Linked DNA regions of Cricetulus griseus. The protein of the gene in region 2 purifies or fractionates together with the protein of the main gene of each other region. This does not show direct contact. Links are inferred from orthologs where the notes say so. Each region holds a gene or a part of one and is shown on either strand. Other genes may lie near its edges.

Region 1 (3,500 bases), on a different chromosome or scaffold from region 2:
CATGCTCCGCTTAGGTGGCTTGCTTTGTCTGTTCCAGGTGTTGTCTGTGGCACTCACTGACATGGTGTAATGGGGAGGGCCATGCATTAAAGTGATGGCTTTTCAGGCTGTGCTCAAATGGTTGTTAGTGCATGGCAAGACAAACCTCTGATTATCAGGGTGTGGGGGTTTGATGCTTCAGTCATTTAAAATGGTTCAAAAAAACCCCATAAGAATCATTGTCACCTGAAGGAAGAGTGAGGAATGGGCTGGACTTTGAAACCGAACTGGTCCTGGTTGTCAGGGAGCTGCCCCTCCTTTTCTGTCTTCCATACCAAAAGAGAACAAGGACTCAATGACCTGTGGCTGGAAGCTGAGGGCTCCTCATTCCAAGACCATACTTGCAGCTTGCCACTGCCTAGCCCATAGCATCACTGGGACACTGCCTAGTCTATAGCATCGCTGGACCACTGCCTAGTCTATAGCATCGCTGGACCACTGCCTAGCCCATAGCATCACTGGGGTACTGCCTAGTCTATAGTGTCAGTGTGCTCTCCAGCATCACATTAGTCCCCCCCTTTCATAATAGTGACAATCCTGGTTAGAAATTAGATAAATTTTTATCAAAATGAGGTGTTCAGAACATAGGGACATGTCCACTGCCTATCATGTGATCTGTCTTTCTAGGGTGGTTGAGGGACATTCTTCTGGGTCCTCTGCCTCAATTAGAAGGTTGAATCGGAAAGTGGCTGAGTGGCAGAGCACCAGAGCACTCCTGAGTTACATTACCTGGGCCACGTGGGGCTTACATGAATCTTTACCCTGGATGGTTTCTATTGTTTCCTGGCAGGGCTGGTGACAATATCATGGCACCATCCATTTCTAGTCTACTGCACCTCTTATCCACCCGCCCTACCCCCACTTTGGAAGTGTCTCTTGTGCCTGTAGGCCTGACCTCACTCTCTCTCTCTCTCTGTTTTGTGCAGTGCCTTCTCCCAGTGCCTTGCTAGCAGACAACCCCACGCCTTTTGGAAACGCAAAAGAAGTGATTGCAATCAAAGACTATTGCCCAAACAACTTCACCACCCTCAAGTTCTCCAAAGGCGACCACCTCTACGTCTTGGACACGTCTGGTGGGGAGTGGTGGTATGCCCACAACACCACCGAGATGGGCTACATCCCTTCCTCCTATGTGCAGCCACTGAACTACCGGAACTCCACCCTGAGTGACAGTGGCATGATTGACAATCTCCCAGATAGCCCCGATGAAGTCGCCAAGGAGCTAGATCTGCTAGGGGGCTGGACAGATGACCAGAAAGAATCTGGCAGACCCTATAGTAACAACCCTTTCTGGAACGGAGTCCGAACGAACCCTTTTCTAAATGGGAATGCCCAGCCCAGTGTGGATGAGCTAAACCCCAAGAGTACTGTGGATTTGCTCCTCTTTGATACGGGCACATCTTCCTTCACTGAATCCAGCTCAGCAACCACCAACAGCACCGGCAACATCTTTGATGAACTCCCAGCCACCAATGGACTCCACGTGGAGCAGCCGGTCAGGCGGGACAATCCCTTCTTCAGAAGTAAGCGTTCCTACAGCCTCTCGGAACTCTCCGTCCTACAAGCCAAATCGGATGCTCCTGAGACATCCAGTTTCTTCACAGGCTTGAAGTCACCTGCCCCAGAACAGTTTCAAAGCCGAGAAGATTTCCGAACCGCCTGGCTGAATCACCGGAAGCTGGCCCGATCCTGCCATGACTTGGACCTGCTCGGTCAAAGCCCAGGTTGGGGACAGACCCAAGCAGTGGAAACAAATATCGTGTGCAAGCTGGATAGTTCTGGGGGCTCCGTGCAGCTTCCTGACACCAACATCAGCATCCATGTGCCCGAGGGCCATGTAGCCCCTGGGGAGACCCAGCAGATCTCCATGAAAGCCCTGCTGGACCCTCCGTTGGAGCTCAACAGCGACAGATCCAGCAGCGTCAGCCCCGTGGTGGAGGTGAAGCTGAGTAACCTGGAGGTGAGCACTTTGATCATCTTAGAGATGAAAGTCTCCGCAGAGGTGAAGGGCGACATCTTCAGCAAAAGTTCAGTGGTCCTACAGTGCCTGAGAAGTGACTCCAAGGAGGGGCCCTATGTGCCCATCCCCCTCACCTACAGCTATGGGGACACGGTACAGGTACAACTGGACAACCTGGAGCCTTGCATGTACCTCGCTATTGTCGCCCAGGGCGCCAACATCCTCTACCCCTCCACCGTATGGGATTTCATCAATAAGAGAGTCACTGTGGGTCTTTATGGTCCCAAACACATCCATCCGTCCTTCAAGACCGTGGTGACCATTTTTGGACATGATTGTGCCCCCAAGACCCTCCTGGTCACTGAGGTTACTCGGCAGGCTCCTGGTCCTGCCCCGGTAGCCCTACAGCTGTGGGGCAAGCACCAGTTCATCTTGTCCAGACCCCAGGATCTCAAAGTGTGTATGTTCTCCAATATGACCAACTATGAGGTCAAGGCCATCGAGCAAGCCAAAGTGGTGAGAGGGTTCCAGATGAAACTGGGTAAGGTTAGCCGTCTGATCTACTCCATCATCTCCCAGAACCCCAACGAGCTGTCTGACTTCACCCTGAGGGTGCAGGTCAGGGACGATCAGGACACCATCCTCACCCAGTTTTGTGTCCAGACTCCGCAGCCACCCCCCAAAAGTGCCATTAAACCATCCGGGCAGAGGAGGTTCCTGAAGAAGAACGAGGTTGGGAAGGTCATCTTGTCCCCGTTCGTTGTCACCACCAAGTACCCAACGTTTCAGGACCGCCCCGTGTCTAGCCTCAAGTTCGGCAAGCTACTAAAGACGGTGGTGAGGCAGAACAAGAGCCACTACCTGCTAGAGTACAAGAAGGGTGACGCAGTGGCCCTGCTCAGCGAGGAACGCATCCGCCTCAAGGGACAACTGTGGACCAAGGAGTGGTACATCGGCTACTATCAGGGCAAGGTGGGCCTGGTGCACACCAAGAACGTGTTGGTAGTGGGCAAAGCCCGGCCCAGCCTGTTCTCGGGGCCTGAGCTGAGCACCTCCGTGCTGCTGGAGCAGATCCTCCGGCCCTGCAAGTTCCTCACTTACATCTATGCGTCCGTGCGGACCTTGCTCATGGAGAACATCAGCAGCTGGCGAGCCTTCGCGGACGCCCTGGGTTACGGGAACCTGCCTCTCACCTTCTTCTGCCGGGCGGAGCTGGACAGCGAGGCGGAGCGGGTGGCGTCTGTTCTGGAAAAGCTGAAGGAAGACTGTAACAACCCTGACAACAAGGACCGGAAGTCCTTCCAGAAGGAGCTGGTGATGGTGAGTGTCCCGCAGGTGTCCAGACCTTGGGGTGTCCAGACCTTGGGGTGAGCTTCCAGAGGCAGACAAGCATGGGCCATATTGGGCCACTCACAGGGTTGGAAGTGTAGCTACAGGATCTTTAAAGACCCCCCAGGAAGGTGTCTTCTCCCCTCTTTATCAGCTTCTCTGTGGTCTTGGG
Region 2 (4,163 bases):
TAGAATATCTGACATATCATTTTCCATTGTCAGAAGCAAGAAAATCTGAAGGACTCTCCTAACCTTTCTTGGCAAGGTTCAGCAGTCACTTTTTCTTGTGTCCTGTTTGTCTGGATTGGACAGCATACTTACTGTCAGCAGTCCAGGCAAGGGCAGCTCTTTACCCAATAGGCCAGTTTTGCTAAAAGGGAAACAAACTCCATATGGAGTGACTTCAGTGCCCATCATCCTCTCAGGAGTAGATCAGCTGCCAGGAGCAGATGTGTCTCATGTCAAAAGAATTTTAAATTATCAAAACATTTTAAATGTCATATTCTGTAGGTCTTTGAAGTGTTTGAAGATTACCAACCCATCTAAAAATATATCTCTGTATATCTAGCTAAACCTAACATAACATTAAGTTTGACTATTATAAACTGCATAAACATAGTATCATAAACAAGAGTAGAAATATAAATATAGCATAACAAAATTAACCTTAAGTTTATATCAAGAAAGTAAAATATATAACAATGTAAGTATTTTGGGATTAGCAGTTGTTTGGGGGTTAAGGAGATTCAATAATCTACCCTTTTCCCCATCATACATTTCTATGAGGGAGGAGGAAGGGGAGAAGGAGGAGGAGGAAGTGGAGGAGGAGGAGGCGGCGGAGGAGGAGGAGGAGGGGAGGAGGAGGAGGGGAGGAGGGGAGGAGAGGAGGAGGAGGAGAGGAGGAGGAGGAGGAGGAGGAGGAGGAGGAGGAGGAAACCTGCACTGGTTGGTCACCATCTATGATTCTGCACAGTACTGAACTGACAAGCCGACTGTTTAAACATTCTCCATCGTGTATTCTTACACAGCTTTACTAGCAAAGTGCTCTGTGGCTCTCTGTGCAGCTTCGGAGCCTTTGCACACCCTGTATCTCCATTCATGTGTCTGTAGAGCCAGGACCGAGCCTGGTACCAGGCAGGGGCACTTAAAGATTGAAAGACTGAATGAATGCACGGTTGCTTTGTCTATTGTGTAGAGTGGAAAAAGCAGAGACACCCGGGACCCTCCCTATTCACTATGGCCCACCCCCTGGAGTCAAAGCATCTTTCTGGGAGGGAAGCTGAGCGAGGGTGTGCTCTCGGCCGCCTCTCTGACCTCCCAACGAGCCCGCTTTCCTGGATGCCGAGCGCAGTCCTCCAAACCCGGTCATCTGACTCTTACTGCCAGCTCCCGCCCAGCTCCCCGTCCTCTCACCCGCGCAGCCCCTCAATGGTTCAGCCCGCCGCCATTTAGAACGAGTAAGGTCGGACCACTGCGCGTACAGGGGGGAGACCGAGGTGCGGCGGAGGGATCCCTCAGAGCGTTCCGACGGGAGGCACCCATTGGCCGCCAGTATGGGAGGCCGCCGCTGATTGGTCCGCTCGGGACGCCGGCCCCGCCCAGGTACGGGAGGCCGAGGGAGAAGCCGGGCCGAGTTTCCAGAGGATCGAACTGGGCGCGCGGGGTGGCTGCGGCGCAGGTGAGTGTTCCCCGGCCAGGGGCGGCCTCCCGGGCGTGGAGCCGTGGCGGCGGGGTGGGGCTGGCCGCGTCGGGACCCCAAACACGGACCCTTCCCCTCCGGCCGGGGCCTCCGGTCCGCCCCTGCCCTCTGCTCCCGGGACGCTCCCTGTTGGTGATGGGTCCCGACCCCTCCCGGGCCCCTGCCCAAAAGCTGGCCGCGGGGGCACCGAGGCCGCCGAGTCCGGAAGACAATAACAACCGCAGTAATAGTGCGGACCACCCCCCACCCCCGCCTCGCTAGCCCGGACCCAGCGCTTCCTCGTCAGACGCTTACAGTGCACAACATTGAATCAAAACAGCCTCCTGGGAGGGGCTGTTAACTTCTTTTAGAAGTGAGGGATCAGGGCCAGAGAGGTGGAGTGACTCACTCAAGGTCACACAGCTAGTAAGTGGCCGGTGGGGATGAGGGACCCATGCCTTGAGTCCAGAAACTAGTCCCAGAAGTCGTCCCTGACCAGCCAGCCACCGGACTCACTGCACACGGCCGCCCCCATATTCCCTTCGGAGCCGCACCTGCTGGGTTTTGCTTCCCCGAGCCCACGGGTCACTAAACAGCTTCCAAGTTGCCCTCGTGTCCCTTCTCTTGAGCTGGCCAGGCAAGGCCTGACGTGGGCCCTTTAATCCCATTCCCCCTCCACCCACCCTGTCTACTTACTGCGAAGAGAAATGAGCGAGAGTGAGTGTAGAGGCCGGGGCGGGGGAGCGGGGCAAGAGGTGCGTCCACTCGCCCCGGAAACACTGGAGAGATGAAACCTTTAGGATCCGGTTTTTCAAGAATGAATCAGAGGCCTCCTCCCCTCCTCCCCAAAGTAGTACTGTGCTGGGGGTTAGGAGCGAGGGACGACAGGTGTGGTGTCCCCTAAACTGGGAGTTATCTGAGCCCCAGGAGTCCCCCTCCCTGCTTCCTGCACCTCCCACTTAGCGTTTCTGTGACTGCAGGGTTGCTAAGTTTCTGGCCCTTCTTGGGATGAGAGCGCTGAACTCCGGAAATCCATCCAACCCACTTCCCTTCAGCTCCTTGCAGACAGCGGGGAGGAGCTCGTAGCTCTCTAGCAGTCATGTTGGTGGGGTTTGGTTCACAAGCAGGGTTATAGGACATTCACTCTACAGTTCACCTGCAAGTGCTAAGCAGCCACTGTGCCAGGCACCATGTTTTGCTTGGAGGGAAGTGTCCTCCAAATGCAGGACAGAATTCCCTGCATTCTAGTGGGGAACAGGCAACAAGTTAACATGGGCAGCCACTGCAGATCCTTCTAAGTGCTGAGTGACCTCTCAGAGATCACTGGGCAGGGGGAGATCACACACACACACACCCCAAGGCAGAGTGAAGTATAGAATAGCTGGAACAGGGAATGAAGCTATAGATGTGATTGAGTACCTGGTACAGAAAACACATTTTTTTATTGTCGAGTTTTCCCCTATACGGTGAGATTCCTTTGTGAGATAGGAGATGGTTTGCATTTTAAAATAGAGACACAGGCTGGAAAGACAGCTCACAGACTGCATGCTGGGAGTTCCATTCCCAGCCCCCACATGGTGGGTCACAACCATCTCTAACTAGTTCCTTTTGACCTCTTCAGGCACCCAAGTGATGCACAGGCAGACATGAAGCAAAGCTCTCATACACATAAAATTAAAATAAAATAAATTTTAAAAATGAAGATGCAAGATAAATAGCAGCCGGGACATTGAGAGACAAGCTCTGTCAGGGTAGCACACAGCAAGTTCATAGACCCTAGTACTGTGGTGCAGCTCCTGTGTGCGGGCTGGGCAAGCCAGCTGCCTGGAGAAGTCTGGAATAGGCCTTGCCAGCATAGGAACTGGGATGCTTCTAGGCCAGGGAAGGAAGGATGTGACCAGAATAAAGACTGAAGAAGTTTGGAGGTGCAGGTCAGCAGTACAGCCCCTGCCCCGAACCTGTGGGGGAGGTGTGGGTCGGCAGCAGAGTGCCTTCCAAGCAATGAAAGATTCTAGTTTCTGTCTCCATCACTGCAAATAATAACACGTCCAACACTTTCTGATGAGATTCCGTAAGTACCCAACAGACATAAACTCTGCCAGATTCTCAGGAGATAAAACTGCGGCCTCATGAAGCTAAGCAACTTGGCTTTGTCTGTGCCACTGGTGAGTAGCAAGGGTGGAACTTGAATCCAGGCCATCATCCAGGCCATGTGTCTCAGGGTCTGCATCATTGGTTTATTAGTCACTCATTTTCCTCAGTGCCTTGGGTCTCTCACCAGAGGGCACACAAAAGCTGGACTAAACCACAGCAGTGAATATGTACAGAGACAGAAAGGAGGCTGGGGAACAGGGTATGCGGTGCAGGACAGTGAGGAAAGACAGTGTATCAGCACACACCCCAATAGTATTGCGGGGACTGTCCCAGGCACACACATGCACTCACACACCCCCAATAGTGTTCCAGGAGCAATCCAGGCATATACATGGTTTCCTTTTTGATCAGACGAGTTAAGATATTTGGCCTAAACTGGGCAGTGGTGGCACACGCCTTTGATCCCAGCATTCAGGCAGATCTCTGAGTTTGAGGCCAGCCTGGACTACAGAGTAAGTTCCAGGACAGCCAGGGACTACAGAGTAAACTTAAAACAAATATAGAACAAGGAATGGTGATC

Evidence for each region.
Region 1: the proteins of Gipc1 (region 2) and Sh3bp4 purify together in Homo sapiens (affinity purification with mass spectrometry; 4 studies listed by BioGRID and IntAct, with this or other methods). This does not show direct contact. The link is inferred for Cricetulus griseus from reciprocal best matches to the Homo sapiens genes GIPC1 and SH3BP4.

What each region holds. Positions count from the first base shown.
Region 1 is NC_048595.1:440,688,433-440,691,932, forward strand, and holds part of Sh3bp4 (SH3 domain-binding protein 4), read left to right. Parts: intron 1-965; coding exon 966-3,319; intron 3,320-3,500. UniProt on the Homo sapiens protein: May function in transferrin receptor internalization at the plasma membrane through a cargo-specific control of clathrin-mediated endocytosis.
Region 2 is NC_048596.1:160,761,547-160,765,709, reverse strand, and holds the start of Gipc1 (PDZ domain-containing protein GIPC1), read left to right. Parts: upstream 1-1,363; 5' UTR 1,364-1,489; intron 1,490-4,163. UniProt on the Homo sapiens protein: May be involved in G protein-linked signaling.